Linked DNA regions of Cricetulus griseus. Each later gene encodes a partner of the first gene's protein in a complex. Links are inferred from orthologs where the notes say so. Each region holds a gene or a part of one and is shown on either strand. Other genes may lie near its edges.

Evidence for each region.
Region 2: the proteins of Gabarapl1 (region 1) and starch-binding domain-containing protein 1-like are in contact, whole or in part, in a crystal structure (PDB 8X8A), measured with the Homo sapiens proteins. The link is inferred for Cricetulus griseus from reciprocal best matches to the Homo sapiens genes GABARAPL1 and STBD1. Residues at the interface, in NP_113600.1 of Homo sapiens: Glu17, Ile21, Tyr25, Asp27, Arg28, Pro30, Val31, Ile32, Lys46, Lys48, Tyr49, Leu50, Val51, Pro52, Asp54, Leu55, Gly58, Gln59, Phe62, Leu63, Arg67, Phe104; in NP_003934.1 of Homo sapiens: Glu201, Glu202, Trp203, Glu204, Met205, Val206, Pro207, Arg208, His209, Ser210, Gly213.
Region 3: the proteins of Gabarapl1 (region 1) and Nbr1 are in contact, whole or in part, in an NMR structure (PDB 2L8J), measured with the Homo sapiens proteins. The link is inferred for Cricetulus griseus from reciprocal best matches to the Homo sapiens genes GABARAPL1 and NBR1. Residues at the interface, in NP_113600.1 of Homo sapiens: Glu12, Tyr13, Lys16, Glu17, Lys20, Ile21, Lys24, Tyr25, Arg28, Pro30, Lys48, Tyr49, Leu50, Val51, Pro52, Phe104; in NP_005890.2 of Homo sapiens: Ser729, Glu730, Asp731, Tyr732, Ile733, Ile734, Ile735, Leu736.

Annotation. Positions count from the first base shown.
Region 1 is NC_048601.1:16,533,020-16,538,348, reverse strand, and holds the start of Gabarapl1 (gamma-aminobutyric acid receptor-associated protein-like 1), read left to right. Parts: upstream 1-2,119; 5' UTR 2,120-2,388; coding exon 2,389-2,478; intron 2,479-5,329. UniProt on the Homo sapiens protein: Ubiquitin-like modifier that increases cell-surface expression of kappa-type opioid receptor through facilitating anterograde intracellular trafficking of the receptor. Involved in formation of autophagosomal vacuoles.
Region 2 is NW_023276807.1:157,351,872-157,357,384, reverse strand, and holds the start of starch-binding domain-containing protein 1-like, read right to left. Parts: upstream 3,110-5,513; 5' UTR 3,046-3,109; coding exon 2,826-3,045; intron 1,364-2,825; coding exon 588-1,363; 3' UTR 1-587. UniProt on the Homo sapiens protein: Acts as a cargo receptor for glycogen. Delivers its cargo to an autophagic pathway called glycophagy, resulting in the transport of glycogen to lysosomes.
Region 3 is NC_048600.1:114,592,310-114,597,588, reverse strand, and holds the start of Nbr1 (next to BRCA1 gene 1 protein), read right to left. Parts: upstream 3,842-5,279; 5' UTR 3,438-3,841; intron 3,236-3,437; exon of another isoform or gene 3,084-3,235; intron 1-3,083. UniProt on the Homo sapiens protein: Ubiquitin-binding autophagy adapter that participates in different processes including host defense or intracellular homeostasis.

The DNA.
Region 1 (5,329 bases):
TGCGTTTTGTCTGATTGAAGAAAGGGATTTTAAACTATTTTTATCTGTTTGAATGTTAAATTTATAAACATACCTCTCTACATTTTAAAGAGCCTTCTTAGACTAAATAGTAAAATTGTAGGAATAGATAAGTTTTGTATTTTTTAAGTGATTTTTGTTTTATTTGTGTGGGTGCTCTGCCTGCATATATGTATATGCACCATGAGCATGCAGTGCACAGCAGAGGCCAGAAGAGTGCACCATATCCTCTGGAAATGGAGCTACCACTCCTGAGTTGTTTACTTTGCTGGAATTCAAACCTTGATCCTCTTGTAGAGCAGCCCCTGCTCTTAACCATTGAACCATCTCTCCAGCTCCCAATACATTTTGTATTTTTACGTAAACTACTAGCATTTAGAAAACCCTCATCAATTATTAGCTAATATTGCATTTTTTATTTTTCATGCTATTAAATACATTGTCACTGGGCTGAAGAATTAACTGCCCTTCAATTAACTGAGATATACATATCTATAAAAGAACTGAAAGTCACTCAGAAAATAACAATATTACTATTTTAATCCCCGGGTTCATCTTACCTGATTGTAAAGTTTTCTTCTGAAAGATTTAATTGTATTTGAATCAAAGGTAAAATGATGAACGGGGCATTAAACTAGTTTCAAGTTGAAAATAAAGCCTGAAAATTATTAATATAAACATAATGATGTGATGCATTACCTCACTGATCTTTATATGTAGGGGCGATTCAAAGATTCCTGGAGAAAAACAAGAAAGTTGGCTATGCATTTCATTTTGTTTTGGTATTTAAGTTTTAAGTTTAGCTTATTTTATTTTCTGGGCTTTTTGTCTGTTTGGTTTTTGTTGTTGTTGTTTTTCGAGACAGGGTTTCTCTGTGGCTTTGGAGGCTGTCCTGGTACTAGCTCTTGTAGATAAAAGGCGTGCTCCACCAACTGCCTGGCTATTTTCTGGTCTTTTAAAGGCCAAGCCACTGAGAGTAATTTGAAAGGCAGAAGAAGAAGAAGAAGAAGAAGAAGAAGAAGAAGAAGAAGAAGAAGAAGAAGAAGAAGAAGAAGAAGAAGAAGAAGAAGAAGAAAGCCGGCAACAAGGGCTGCTTGGCTGCTTGGCTTTAGAAGTCATTCTATTTGCACAGCACAAAGCATCCTCGAACCCCTACCTTTACCATTTCTAATGCTCCCCAAATACAGGTCTGGAGAGTCACTGTCAGTAGGATCAGTATTCTGACCCAGCATCCAAAGATTCCCAGTAGGAAACCCGATATGCCAGAGGGACCTGGGCCATCCGACCCCGGCTGTGCGGCTTAGGGTCTTCCACTAGGGTGACAGCCAGAGCTTTTGGTTCCCATGAGGCCTTTTCATCAGGACAACTCTCCAGCAGATGGTACCAATTCCCCAGGAAAGTAATGTTGGTCGTCACCTAAACTGCTTGATCTCTGTATGTTTAAGAACCCAGGACCACACTTCTGGGTGAACAGGACAAAGTGAATGGAATCATCTCCCTTTCAAACGTGCATGAAGCCCGGTGTTCATGGCTGGCATCTCCTCTTCTAACCTTGATGACCTCATGCTTTTTCACCCTTACACCTCTGCAAAATCCCTGAGTCACGCACTGTTTATGTTGTCTCAGTACCAGCTCCAGCACAGATCCAAAGGAAAGGACGCCAGAGTAGGGAGGAGGAGCTGGGGTGGAGAAGCCAGGCCAGCCACGGGTGCCAGGCAAAGGTCAAAATGCAAGCACAGGACATTTCAGCGTGGGCTACAGATCTCGTGATGCCTGGCACTTTTCCACCACCAGACGCCTGATCCCATTGCTCTGGAAACAGCTGGATTTTCTTCCTGTGTGTTTGTTTTGGGCACCAAGCAAGAAACATGAAGGGGAGTGAAGAAGACATTTGTTAGAGCATTCTTGGGGTTAAAAGACATCTTTAATATCAAATCACAACAATAAAAGACAAGACACAGAGTTTTTATTTTCTAGAGTGATTTAGGAAAGCTTAAGCGTAATGGGCACACACACACAAATAATCGATGTTTCTGTCCACCCCCATCCAGCAGATCCTGCGCGCCGGGGGCGGGGTGGGGCGGGGCCTCGTGATGTCACAACACCGCCCTGGTGTTTTTGTGTTCCCAGCTCTTGGGAAAAGCCACCCGATTTCTTTACCTGGTGGTCCTTTACCTTCGGGCGGGGAGATCCCCAGGTCCCTCTCTTGGACGTCTGGCCACGTAGTGCGGTGACGGGCGTGTGGGGGCTGACGCGGGCGGAGCGATTGTGATAAGGTTGACATTGACCCGGGGGCGGCCAGAAGCGAGACGCAGTCACCAGCGCGCGCAGCAGGCCCCGTCCGGGGAGCCCCCCAACCTGCGGTCCATCATGAAGTTCCAGTATAAAGAGGACCATCCCTTCGAATATCGGAAAAAGGAAGGTGAAAAGATTAGGAAGAAATACCCGGACCGGGTGCCGGTGAGTGGGGGCGGGGAGGGGGAGAGCGAGCAGGGAAATTCGGGAGCCGGTTGCCCCGGAGCGCTGGAGGGTGGCCCTGGAGCAGGGGGGTCCCCGGAATCCCATAATCCTGGCCGGCTCTGACAAACCCATATTGCCAGGACCAGTGCCCACCTCTGGCATCCGGGGTGACTCAGCGGATTCAGCTCCCGCGGAGGTGGGGAATGTGCGCGTGGCGCGGCCTGTGTGTGCGGGAGCCGCTGCTTGGGGGCCCCAGATGGGACGCGCTTGTAGACCACGCAGCGCATCCCCGGAGTGGCAGGTGCGGTGGTGGTGAGCCTTGGGCCCATCCATGTCTGCCTAAAGAATCCGGGTTCCGTCCTCATTTCCTTGAGCGCATTGGGGGAAAAACTTGAGAAGTCAGTAGATTCTGCGCTGCGTTTTCTTAGAATTTAAGAGGCGGCGGCGGAGAACCCCCACCAGGCGGGCCCGCAAACAAGGTCACTCTGCGCCACAGTCAGCTTGCTTCATCATCATCACTGCCTCCCTGGCCATGTGGTGCTAAAGAGGACCTTGCCCTGCACTGCTGATGTGTTGGGCCTTGGACCCCAAGGGCGAGGACTGAGAACCTTTTCCTCCGCGAATTGTACCCCGATTTAAACGGCTAAAACCTATTTGATGCAGTGAGGAGAAAAATAATAAGGGAGTCTTCTTCAGCATCCGGGTGTTTTTCCCTTTGCCCCCCCTCCCCCCGCCCACTTGCCTGATTTTTTTTTTTTTTTCTTCTCTTTTAAAGGCTGCGCAGCAGAATTGGAAGCCGAGGACGACATTACTGTTAGATATGGTAGCTAGAGGAGAAGGGACTTTTAAAGTCGTTCTCTTTATCTGTACAGGCAATGATGTTAGATTAGCATTACTCATAGCTTTAATGGGTAAACGAGCCGGACTTACCTAATAATTTTTCTTGATGCATAAGTACTGTTCGTGGTGGTGGTGGTGGTGAGGGGGGGTTTCCTCGGTCCTCTCAGCTATGGCTAGCAGAAGAAATGTAGGCTCAACTGGGAAAAGTCCTCATCCCCATTTCCTGTTAGGAAGGGGAGAGTTAACTATTCCACTGTATGCACCAGGGTCTTTAGGGAAAGGCTGGAAACACGCTAGTCATTTCTTCTTAGCACGCAGTCCTGCACATATTACTTCCATGGAGGATTGTCTTGGATTTGTCACCCCCCCTTCATATTTTAAAATGACACATGGCCCACAGAGCTGGCAGCACTCTGAATGCCTTGTCTGCCTATTCACTGACTCGACTCACACCATTAAAATCTAGGTGCTACAGACATAAGCCTGCAGTACTGGGGAGTGAAGTCCCCACCCAAAGGTGGGGTCTGACAGTGCTAGCTGCCAGAGAGGGATTTCAGCCTGGCTGCCATGCTTTGGGCTTCCAGAGCCCTTGACCTTTAGGTTGTCCCCTTTCCCAGTTTGTGTAGTCCAGTTCGATTAACCAGAATTAAGTGTTACACCTTACATAGGTGAGTCCTGGAAGTAGGTTAAGTCTTGCTGCCATCTGGAGTTCAGCTGGTAGACCAGTGCCAGCCAGGAAACTTAAGTGAATGTCTACCCGTTACTCAGAACTTTAACAGAAACACAAGCTGCGGTGTCCGTCTTCAGATTCAGTTAAAACCTCTATAGTTTCTCAAATGAGCCTCTCTCATTCGCTTGGTTACAGCACTCACCCAGGATATTTTAGTTTCTCCTTATTCTTCTCCTGCTTATGACTTGATGTTGAATGTTTTATTTCAGTGATAATTTATAAGCTAAGAAAGATCACTGGGATCTCATGGATCCTCAACTTGAGAGATTCTCCACTTATGGCTCTTACCCTGTTTGTGACAGAAGAGCTCTGCTAAATGGCAGAGATTTGGGTTGGGGGCAGCATTGGGCATGGAGCCCTTTGCCCAGTGGTCCCTCTATCACTGGGTATACCCTTATCCTCAGCGATGTGGTTTTGTTTCAGCCTTGTAACCTGAGTTCCTGTACCTTGGGCACAGAACTGAATCTTACTATGTCCAGGTGTTTACAGGAAAGCCACTAAGTGTCTAAGGCAGTCTGACTCACAACTTAAGCTTAGCCTCAGAAGAGGTATGTGTGGGCCTTGGGAGAGGGGATCATGGGATCTTGAAATAACAGTGTGTTGGAAACCTGTAATAGCAGGAACTGCTGGACACACTATTTTTAAACATTTGTAAACAGCCCTATGGCGTATGAGCCACCTGCCACAGATGGAGAAAACAGTTTTCTCTATTCTTGGAGGAAGCTGCCAGGTCTCAGAGTCCCTGTGGTAAATACCAGGGCTCCCCCTGTTTCCTGTGCTCTGCCGTGTATAGCCTGCCTTTTCTCCTTACTTTTTTTTTTTTTTTGTCCATTACTAATCTCCTTTTCGAACTCTTTTCTACTTAATTTGAATGTTTGGATTCACCTCTGTCTACCCAGGCATTTACATGTATTTATTCATATGGTCTTTTGGGGGTGCTGCTTGTTCAGAAGCCCAGAGAGGTCACAGACATCCTGAAGGTCACACAGCTTCTAGGGAGACTTGTCCAGTGTCTGTTTCTGCTTCTTCACTTTTTGGTAGTTCCCATTTCTCATATCTAAGATGCGCTCTTCAAAACAAAGAATCTAATGTTAATATTCTTGCAATGTATTTTCTATTTTCTAAGTAAATATATAAACATCTACCTAAGAGTCCAGGCGGTGGTGGCACACGCTTTTAATCCCAGCACCTGGGAGGCAAAGACAATCAACTCTCAGTGAGTTCAAGACCAGCCTGGTCTACAGAGTGAGTTCCAGGACAGCCAGGACTGTTACACAGAGA
Region 2 (5,513 bases), on another chromosome or scaffold:
CCACTCCCTCCACTTCTTGGATGACCAATGCTGATTAGGGCATTAAAACAAAGACACCCCTGCTAACTCCACACCTATCCTCAGCACTAATAATGGAACAAAAACTAATGGGGAGTCTCTGAGTGTCACTCCAGTCCTGACTGGTCACAGTTCCAATATGGTGTCATTTTAAAATGTAAACATGTTGCTTTAGCTGTATTTAATGAGACTTAACTGCCATCTCCCTATTCTAAGAGCTACAGGCTCTACCTTGTACTTGTGCAGTTGGTTAGTTTCTCCTTGCCCATAGTCCATACCTCAGTCTTAGCCAAGCCAACTACCCCTCAAGGGACCATCAACCCCTCAAGTGATGATGTGTCAGCACAAACCAGTCAGTGCAATAAGGGAAAAGTCCCAGCTCAGAGGAAGCATCATGGGCATGCATAAATCTTCCTACATTTTGGACAAAAGCCACACTAACAACTCTGAAAGAACTCTGATGGCTACAAATGGGTTCACACTGCCTTTAAATTATGCAGTGTGCTCTACAGCCTTAGCCTCTTCCACATTCTGACTCAGCCTCTCGCTAGGATGCTTTGCACTGTGAGTCAGTGAATCCCCCACCACCCATGAACCACCTTATCCTCATGGCCAGTCTGCAGGAGTCTGTTGCTGCATTCTTCCCAGCGAGTAACTTCCCTGTTCTCAACCAACACAAACTTCCATTCCACCACCGTGTCCGCAGGCAGGAAGACAGAATGAGACCACAGCCCATCCTTACAATAGTGGAGTGGGATGTATCTGGTCCATCCCCCAAGATTCTCATGGTCTCCCGTTACTGCAATGAACTGCACATCGGTGCTTGTGGTGTAGTGTACCTTGAACTGGATGTTGACCTGCTGAGGGGATGTCGCCTTCCCATCTGCTTCCCAGCCTCTTCCTCCCACAAGAGTACTTCTGCCATCATTCATTCCCTGACTCAGGCCCTCAAGACTGCCACCCAAACCAACATCCCCCCAAGATGAGTGCCTAGACACCACTTCCCAGTCCTCGTGGCCTGCCAGGTCCTGACTGACCGATTGTGCAAGGCTGGCTGCTTTAGCTCTGTCCCTGAGTAGGCTGCTGGAGGACAGCTTCTCTGCCATGCTCCCAGCTGTTTCTTGTCCTTTGCAGGGACTCCATTCTCCTATATGAACTTGTGGGCTTTGATTCCTTGACACTTCTGGATTGGCCCTGGAGTGCGTGTCCAGACTCTTTCCAACAGGAACACAATCTCTGGCATTGCTCCAGTCTGCTCCAGCATTCTGAAGTCTCTGTGCTCCCTGCAGGTTACCAAGATCTTTAGGCTCAGAAATCAAATGTCCATTGCTTTCTTGAAGCTGTTCTGAGAAAGGAAAGTTTAGCAACATTAGCTGGTTTCACAAAGGGAGACTGAGAAAAACATCCGATTCTACCTGTAGGCCAAGCTCCTGTAGAAATCAAGTGTCTATTTGCACCTTCCCAACCCGGCTCTTTGCGTGTAGAGCCAACAACCAAAACACACTCAGTGTGAGAGACAATGAAGTTGCAAGTTGCAAAGTCTCCCACAGGCCAGACCAAGTTGGCAGGGATCCAAAGTTAAGTCACTTGGCTCCTGTCATTAAAAAAAAAAAAAAAAAAATGCTGGGGGGTGGGTTGGGACAGGAGCTTAGCAGGCCCAGACACAAACACTGTGGCTTCTGTGGGACAAAGGACTGCATGTTACCCGGCCCTGTACTCCCTGGAAGTGAGTGCAGGACAGGGGTCAGCTCTGGAAGGCAGAGTGGTCAGTGTGAGTAGAGTTGGGGTGGGGGTGGGGGAACTTGAGGGGAGAGAAATCTCTTCAAAGACACATGAGGTCCCCCCCACACACACACATACCATACACACTTTAAAGATTGTTCTTAAAAGTCCACAAAGTCGCCCAAAGACTTGGTTTCTTTCCTGGCTACCTAAATAGCTCTCAAAACCTGAATTTCTACACTTGGTGCAGGAGCTGGGGGCACTCTTGCTTCATTTTGCCTCTTTTTAATGGTGAATTTCGGAGTCCGATGGCAACAAATCTCAATTCCCCAAATAAAACATGAGGCTGGCCTTCAGAGACAAGGAAACAGATGAACTGTTTATCAAAATTCAGCCGTGGGAAAGATTCTCACGTAACTACAAATGACCACCACTAAAAATAAGTTCTGCCAGGCAACGGCAACCTGCTAAAGGGCACAGGAAGGTAAGGCTTCGTGCCAGTGCACACTGGTTGCCTGGTGCGGGGTCTCTAGAACGTAGCTCTAAACTTACATGACAATTCTTATCAGCGTTTGGTTCCCAGCTTCAGTGGGTTCCCAGCTTCATGACCCATGTCTCAGCTGAATTTTACTTTTCTGAAAGAATTGTCCAGACAGTAGCAAGCGAGTGCTCAACGCTCGCCAGCCCCAAACTCAGATCTAAGAAGGGGTGTGGGGTGTCAGGGCTTGAAGCTAGGGGGGCGAAGATTCAGAGGATGCCCCTCCCAGCTTCATCGAGACTATAGAGTTGTGAGATGCCCCCCAAACCAGCCTCGCGCGCTGCGCCAAGCGCCGCCAAGTGCGCCGGGCGGAGGAGCCGGTGCCGGCCCGGAGCAGCAGGAGCAGGGCGCGGCCTCTAGAGGACCCGCGTGGCTTCTCCAGGACAGTACAGCCTGGGAGGGGGCCCGAGGAGGGTTCCGTCCCAGGTGGAGGAAGTTGGTCCACCACGATCCACCTGGAGAACTTCAGGTGGCTTTCATCCCCCCTTCCCCAGGGAACTCCGAAACACCGGTCACGTCTGCCCCGAGCCCCGGGGAGGAAGAATACCTGATTTGGAGACCAGCACCCGCTCGGAACGTTCAGGGCTCAGGCCGCCACAGCCACCCGGACCGCCTCCCGGAGTCGCAGCCTCCCCTGGAGGTGCGTCTTTCTGCGGCTCCGCACCCCCGTCTTGCCCCGGGACCCCAGGGTCGCCCCGCAGCAGCCACAGGATAAGCGCTGCCGCCAGACACCCGCCGACCAGGAGAGCGGACCAGACGGCGCCCATGGCTGGGAGGCTGCGGGAGACTGCGGGGGCCCCGGACCAGGGCTCCGCTCACCCGCACGGCCACACCCACCCCGCCCGCCTCAGCCTTTTACGGTTTCACCGTGGCCAGCCCAGCCCTCAGTGGCCACGAACTTCCCCGGCCCCGCCCCGCCCCGCCCCGCAGCCCAGAGCTCACTGAGTTCCCATGCTCCGCCCCTCCCCTCGCCGGGGTCCCGCTCTACTGAATCCCGCACCGCTTACGCACAGTACCGAGCCAGGGCAAGGGACTCCAGGAGCTCAGAAGAGATAGGGGGCTTACAGACCAGTACTCTTGCTGGACTCTTAGTACACGCAGGGGTGGAGCTAGCAGGGGAGGGAGGGAGAGAAGGTGGGAGGAAGGGCGGGGAGGGGGGCGTGAGAGAGGGAGGGCAGGGAAGCATAGAGGAAGCTCTACTCCTGTCCCCAGCTACGTCTAGCTTTCCCAAACCTCTATGTAATAATCTACTTAAAGGCCCACCTCAACCAATCCCTTTCCTCCTCGAACCTCTTACTCCCTCCTTTTTAAAAAGAAGGGTCCAGGCTAGCCTCTATATATCTAAGGCTGGCCTCAAACCACTGATTCCGCATCCCAAGTGCAGGGTTATAGACCAGCATCGACATGGCCCTATCCTTCCACCTCTTTTTGCCGCGTGTGTTGCTACACAACGCAATCCACCCACCTTAACTGGATATTGTACATGGACGGAGCCCCTACAAGTAAATATTAATAAGGCAGCGACCCTTTATCAAGCATCAATCATATATTCAAAGTGTTTTGTGTATGAACTTAAACTGATCCTCACACAATAGAAGTCCTGTGAAGGACCACACTGCTCTGTCGATAGGCACACACACCTACTTCAGGTTTATGCACCAGGGCTTTTTATTTCTGGAGGCTTTCCCTTAACCGCATCCTCCCACAGCCCCCTGCTAAGGCCGCAGCTGGAGTGTGTGTGCCTTGGAGCTATTGCTAACATGGCTCCCTCTGGGAGGATCAATCACACCAGTTCTCCTTGCTGGGATCATACAGCAGCTCTTAATAGGCACTTCCTGGTGGGTTGCTCCTCTCTTGGCACAGGCTGCAACTCCTAAGGTAGAAGGTAGATAGGCAGATAACATAGCAATAAAACGACTCCTGTTTTATAATTAAATTATTGGATATTAAAATGAAATACTGCTATACACATAGTTGAGAGCATCACAGCCCTCGTCAGAGAAGCTTCTTGTGGTCGATGGAGACTAACACAGAGACCCACAGCTGGACCACGTGTGGAGTGTGAGAGATTTGGGAGCACTCAACCCTAAATGGGATGGCGTTATTAAACCCCTCTCCTCAAGGCTCAAGGAACTACCTGGAAGAGGAGGCAGAACTATTCCAAGAGCCAGGGGTGATAGATGATTCCAAGGAAACAGTGTCTGGCAGACACAACATGATTTAAGACACTGATGCACTCACAGAGATTGTGACAGCATGAACAACACCTGCACAAGCTCAAACCAGACAAAATCGGGGCACTAAGAGGAAGAAGTGAGCACAAAGTTCCACCCTAATCAAGAGGCTATTTGCAACTGATGCCTGTTGGAAAGGGAAAATCAGTTTTCTCCGATGGAGTGTAACTGAGTGTGTCAGCCACATCAAGTTGATGTCCATGAGTTGGAAAATTGCTTGGTGTGGGAAAAAAAACCTCTCCCTACTTACCAATTCTCGCCACCTGGAGCTAGGTTCTTAAGAGTAGGAGAGAGTAAACAATATGCTTCCACTGGCCTCTGAATTGTCAGTCTCAGTGTGGGCACCCTGGGACCTCATCTGTGTACCTCCGCCTCGAGCTCTGATGCACTCTGCAACTATTCTCAACCCTGCTCAACAACTCCCCTAAAACTTGGCATTGCTTTCCTCGGCTCAGAATTCCACTTCAGCGCATCCTCCCTTCCTCACACTGATATATGGGATTCTTTTATTTGAATTCTGAACATATGAACTTTCTTAGTGCAAAGTCTGAGGTTTTCTCTTAGGCTACACTTATTTTTTTGGAATTCATCTCCTCTTCCTTTGGCTCTCAAATCCCTTGGGGGGGGGGGGGAGGAGGTCAGAGCACTTCATTCTTTGTGTTCCATGGAATGCCAAGTCTATCATGTAATATACCCTTTTATTGCTGCTTTTTATTGAGTGTCTAATTGATGCTGGCCCCTGGCTGGTGCTTCATCAGGATTATCTCATGCAACGCCTTCAGAGTCCAGATCTGCTCAAGGTCATCCAGGGGATAGCCGGCCAGGCTAGGATTTGAACCCAGCATCCTGACCCCAGGATCCCAGGTCTGTACTTCTAGCTACACCAAATCCTGATGTTGGTTAAACCACATTCACATTTCAAGACGTGCATTTTAGAAGTGGGTGTGCAAATTTGGTTATGTGTCATCAGAGGAGCCTTCAGGGAATACTCCAGCATGATG
Region 3 (5,279 bases), on another chromosome or scaffold:
GATAGAGAACAGAGACAAGGTGTCTGCACTCTGGGAGCAGCAACAGAAGCAGTTTTAGGTAGTCAGTTCAAGAACAGTCTGGGCTACAATGAGCACTTGTCTACAGAAAACAAGCAAGCAAACAAACAAAAACACCAATGCCCCCCAAAACCCAAACCCCAAACAACAACAACAACAAACTTCTATTACTTGTGGAAAAAGCTATACAAAATTAAAGAATGTAACACAAGGAGTCCTCATGGACCTATCAGCTTCCACAATTAGCAACTAGGAGCTAATTTTGTTAGTCAGTATTCCTTCCTTTCTAGTGTAAGAGAGAGAGGGAGAGAGGGAGAGAGAGAGAGAGTGTGTGTGTGTGTGTGTGTGTGTGTTGAGCAGATGACAAAGGGGCTTGGAAGCTAGGAAGGTACTCTACCACCATGCAACAACCTTGCTCTATGTCTCTCTTGACAAAATATTCACCCTTTCTTCCATAAATACTTATAAAATGAGAAAAATGAAAAAACCCATCATGATCATGCCTAAGATGCTGGCAATTTTTTAATCAAATGCCTATTGTTAAAATCCATTTGATTTTAGCCGGGCAGTGGTGGCACACATCTGTAATACCAGTGCTTGGGAGGCAGAGGCAGGCATGATCTCTGTGAGTTCGAAGCCAGCCTGGTGTACAATGCCAGTTCCAGGACAGCCAAGGCTGTTACACAGAGAAACCCTGTCTTGAAACACCCCCACCCCAAAAAAAACAACCTATTTGATTTAAGGAAAGACTTTGCTTACTGGTTAACTGTGACTTTAGGAAAAAAATAGTGTAAGTTGTTTAAAGCTACAAGCAATAGACACTGGCAAAAAAATGTCACCTCTTAAAATATTCATCTCATTTTCAATCTGCATGTAGAAAGAGCCATATTCGGGTCAACAAACAAGAAATGAACTTGAGTCCTAGATGTTTCCAATGTCAAAGAAGGGAGCCAATAGGGTGCAAACACTTGGGTCCCAGATACAGCTCCACCACAAGATTGGCTGTGCAACTGTGAGCAAGACTGTTTATCTTTGAGCTTCACTCATTTAATATGTAAAACAAAGACTATTCTGCTGACAGTAACAATGTTATCAAAGGGATCTAATAAAACCTTGGTCTAGGGACAGGGAGTAAGGAACCAGTCCACATATGTGCAAAGATAAGGGGCCATTTCCAGTACCACAAAGTATGTAGGATTCTTTCAAATAGTATTCAAATATGAAAATTATTACCATAAGAAACAATTCCTTAGGTCCTTAAGATAGCTTCTACCTTGCTATTATAACTTTGTTTTGGGTGGAGAGAGACAGGGTTTCACTCTGTAGCCCATGCTGGCCTGGGGATTGCTATGTATGTAGACCAGAGAATTGTCCGCATCTGCCTCCAGAGTTCAGCACTGTGGATACAACTGTACAACTGTCATTTTAAGAACCTTGTACTTTTTTTTTTTTTTTTTTTTTTGGTTTTTCAAGACAGGGTTTCTCTGTGGCTTTGGAGACTGTCTTGGAACTAGCTCTTGTACACCAGGCTGGCCTCAAACTCACAGATCTGCCTGCCTCTGACTCCCAAGTGCTGGGATTAAAGGCATGTGTCACTGCCACCCAAGAACCTAGTATTCTTAATCACAGATTATTTTAGAGACTCAATTATCCAATTTTTTCCATGACTTGTCTTCATCTAGAGTTAAGTTCACTGTCAAAGCTATAGTCTCTAGCATCAATCCTGTGGACATCCTGCATTCATACATTTACCCAAAATGCAATTCTTCCTTAGGATCTTTAAAATTTAGGCAGAATCCCACCAACCCTAGGTTTTTGTTTGTTTGTTTGTTTGTTTGTTTTTGTTTGTTTTTAATAAGGAAAATGAAGTGACTGAGTTTGCCAAAAGAAAAAATTCTGAGGTTGGGCTGGAGAGATGACTCAGTGGTTAAGAACGCTGACTGCTCTTCCAGAGGACCCGGGTTCAATTCCTAGCATCCACATGGCTTCTCATAACTGTGACTCCAGTTCCAAACACCAATGCACACAAAATAAAGATAATTAAAAAAGAAAAAATTCCCAAATACACTCGCACTTTCCAACTTCAAGAAATACACTTCCACACAGTTCTGTCTGGAAGGAAACTAATCTTCCCTGTTCTCAAATGACAGGAGTGGGAATTAGTTTCCATACTTTGGAGTTCATCCAGCTGCTCTGTCAATGTGAGAAAACAGGAAGCGAGAGTCTAGTTTATCTAGCCAATATTCAGGTCTTCATAAAGGCCGGACCTCACTGTGACTTACGTGTGAAAATTCTTTCAGGCAGAACATTAATGTTGAACTTGTGAAAATATCAAAGGTACAGTTAACCCCACATATTACCTATTGTTTTGCAGCCAGCGGTCAGGTGGCCGGGCCTAAGCCTGCAGCTTTCCTAAGTGGCACTGTAAACGCATGCCTCATTGACTCACACTCATGTGACAAAGTCAGCTTTTCCCCATAGGATGTTTTTCCAACGTCGACAAATAATATTAATATAGGGAATCTCGGAATCTGAACTCTATTGTGTCTACCAGAGGTTTAAAGCCGCCTAAGCTTTAAAATGGGTGATCTGAAAGCTGGGTGCTTGACAAAAAGGGAAAACGATGCCTCTCTAAACACGGAAGGTTCTAGATCAAGATACCTTCAATAGAGTCTCAAAAAGAGGAAAGCTCAGAATGAGGAAGATGTGTGTCCCTTCTTCTCACACACTTAGTCCTAGTCTTCCAGCAATCGTTTCCTGGAACTCCATGTCCCCGGGACAGTGAGTGTCACCACCACCGGAGGCCCCTCTTTTGGTACTGGGGGATTTCGACTTTCTCTTAGCAGAAACTGGCCTTTCTAAGCCATGAAGACTCTCCCTCAAGCAGAATCCACACCCCACTGTCGCTGACAACCCAAGCGGCTCTCTCATCTGGTCCCTGAAAGGACTGGCTGCCCTGAACACGGAAAAAAGTCACTGCTCTTTTCAAGATTCTCCTTGAACTTCCCCGAGACCTCTAAGAACGACGTGACCCCACTCGTAGGTAACAGCGGCGGCCTCCTTACCAGCTTTCCGCCCCCGGGGGGCGCTTGCCCGTGGCCAGTGCAAGGACCGTTCGCTGCCAGCTCGGCTGCTATCCCTGCGGGGTGAATCTAACATGGCGGACAGAGACCGGGCCCAGTCCCATGTTTCTCTGAGTTTCCGACAAAACGATTGGTTCTAACTATTTGTCCCTCAAAACCACCGCTGCACCGATTGGCCAATGCTGCGTCGGCAGGGGCGGGACAGAAGCTGTCTGAACCGCACAACAATAACAAACACCCAGGCCGAGGGGCGGAACTAGTGCGTAGATGTCAGCGGAGCGGATTTCCCGTTCCCGAGCCCATTGGCCGCCCTCTGCTTTCCCTGAGGTCACTGACCTTGGAGAACTAGTTACCCGAGAATCGCGGGGCTGGATGGGAATTGTAGTATTCCTGGGACTTGCAGCTTCTTTCAGTCTAGTCTCTGTGAGCAAGACATGAAAACAGAACGCTGCGATGTACTGCAGCTGACCTGCATAACCGCGAGGAGGTTTCCGCCGTACTAACTAGGTTGTTGTGGTAATCGCGCCAGCTTCCGGTGTTGGAAGCGCCTCTCCCTTAAGACTACAGTTTCCAAGGGACGCGGTGGAGAAGTCCTTTCGTCCCGCAATGCATGCTGGAATTGGTAGTTCTTTTTACATAATCCTTTCTTTACCTAAACTGGAGACTTCCATGGCAGGAAGACTAAGGGAGGGATGAGGACTCTGCAACTGCTTTGTTCACTACCTTGCGCTCATCTTCCGGCCTTGGGTAGCGATCCCGACCCTTTGTACACAATTACTGTGACGTAATAAGCAAGCGTAGATGCGAGGGGGCGGCTGCCTAATAGGAAACTCAAAATTCTTTCTCTTCCGTCTCTTTCTAGTTACGACACACAAGGAGAGACCAGGTGGCCAATCCTGAGCCCGGAAAGAGTGTCCACCTCTTTTTTTTCCTCTCCCTTCCGCTGACGTGTCTGGATCTTGTGTTCCTAGAGGCCGGCGCTAGCCGCCAAGCGGCCGGTTTCCTAGGCGACCGGGAGCGCGGGAATTACAGATAAATTGTCATTGCGGCTGCGCGGCGGGCGCCGGTGCCGCGGCGGGACCTAGTGCTTTCCGAGCGGCTTTCCCGGGATTTGGGCCAAGGGGCTGGGGAGCACGGACGTTTTGCTCGGGGTGAAGGTGAGACAGCTCTGAGGAACCTAGCGGTAGTCGAGTGAAGGGCGGGAAACTGCAGGCGGAGACAGGTGTTTACCAGGTAGGAGAATGCCCGGGGCGGGACCAAACTGAAAGGACTCCTGGGGGGTGCAGCTGTGCGGAAGAAGGCTAGGGAGGAAAGAAGGGGCGTCCTGGCTGTGGTCGTGCCGAGAAGGCAGTGTAAGCATGGTGGCTGAAGGATGAGAGGAAAGGAGGGCGGAAGTGTGGCAGGGAAATCCATGTATATTTCACGCAAAGGAATGCCAATAGTAGTAATGAATGCTGTCGGCAGGGGTACTTGTTCAAAGACTGCCTTGAGGCTAAGTGCCAGAAGGGGGAGGGTGGAGAAGCGTCAGCAGTGTTAGTGTGTTAGTGTTTGCATTTGGTGACTTAAAAAAAAAGTGCGTTTCTTTCCATTTGTTTGTTTTGGTTTTAGTTTTGTTTTTTTTTAATTTATTTATTTATTTATTAGTTCTAGTTAGGGAACAAGCTTGTTTCACATGTAAGTCCCTTCTCCCTCTCCCTCCCCTCACCCCATCCCTCCTCCCCCACCCCCAGCCTACCCCCACCCCATCCACCCACCACTCCCCAGGCAGGGTAGGGCCCTCAACAGGGGCTCTGCAAAGTCCACCAAATCTTCCTGTGCTGGTCCTGGGCCCTTCCCCATGTGTCCAGGGCCAGAGTGTAACCCTTCACGTGGGATGGGCTCTCAAAGTCCCTTCTTGCACCAGGGAAAAATACTAATCCACCACCAGAGGCTCCCTGGAGTGCAGAGGCCTCCTTATTGACATCCATGTTCAGGGGTCTGGATCAGTCTTGTACTGGCCTCCCCGACAGCATCTGGGGTCGATGTGCTCTCCCTTGTTCAGGCCAATTGTTCCTGTGGGTTTCTCCAACCTGGTACAGACCCCTTCCTTCTTCATTCCTCCCTCTCTTCAACTAAATTCCCGATTTCAGCTCAGTGTATATCTGTGGATGTCTGTCTCTGCTTCCATCAGCTGAAGGA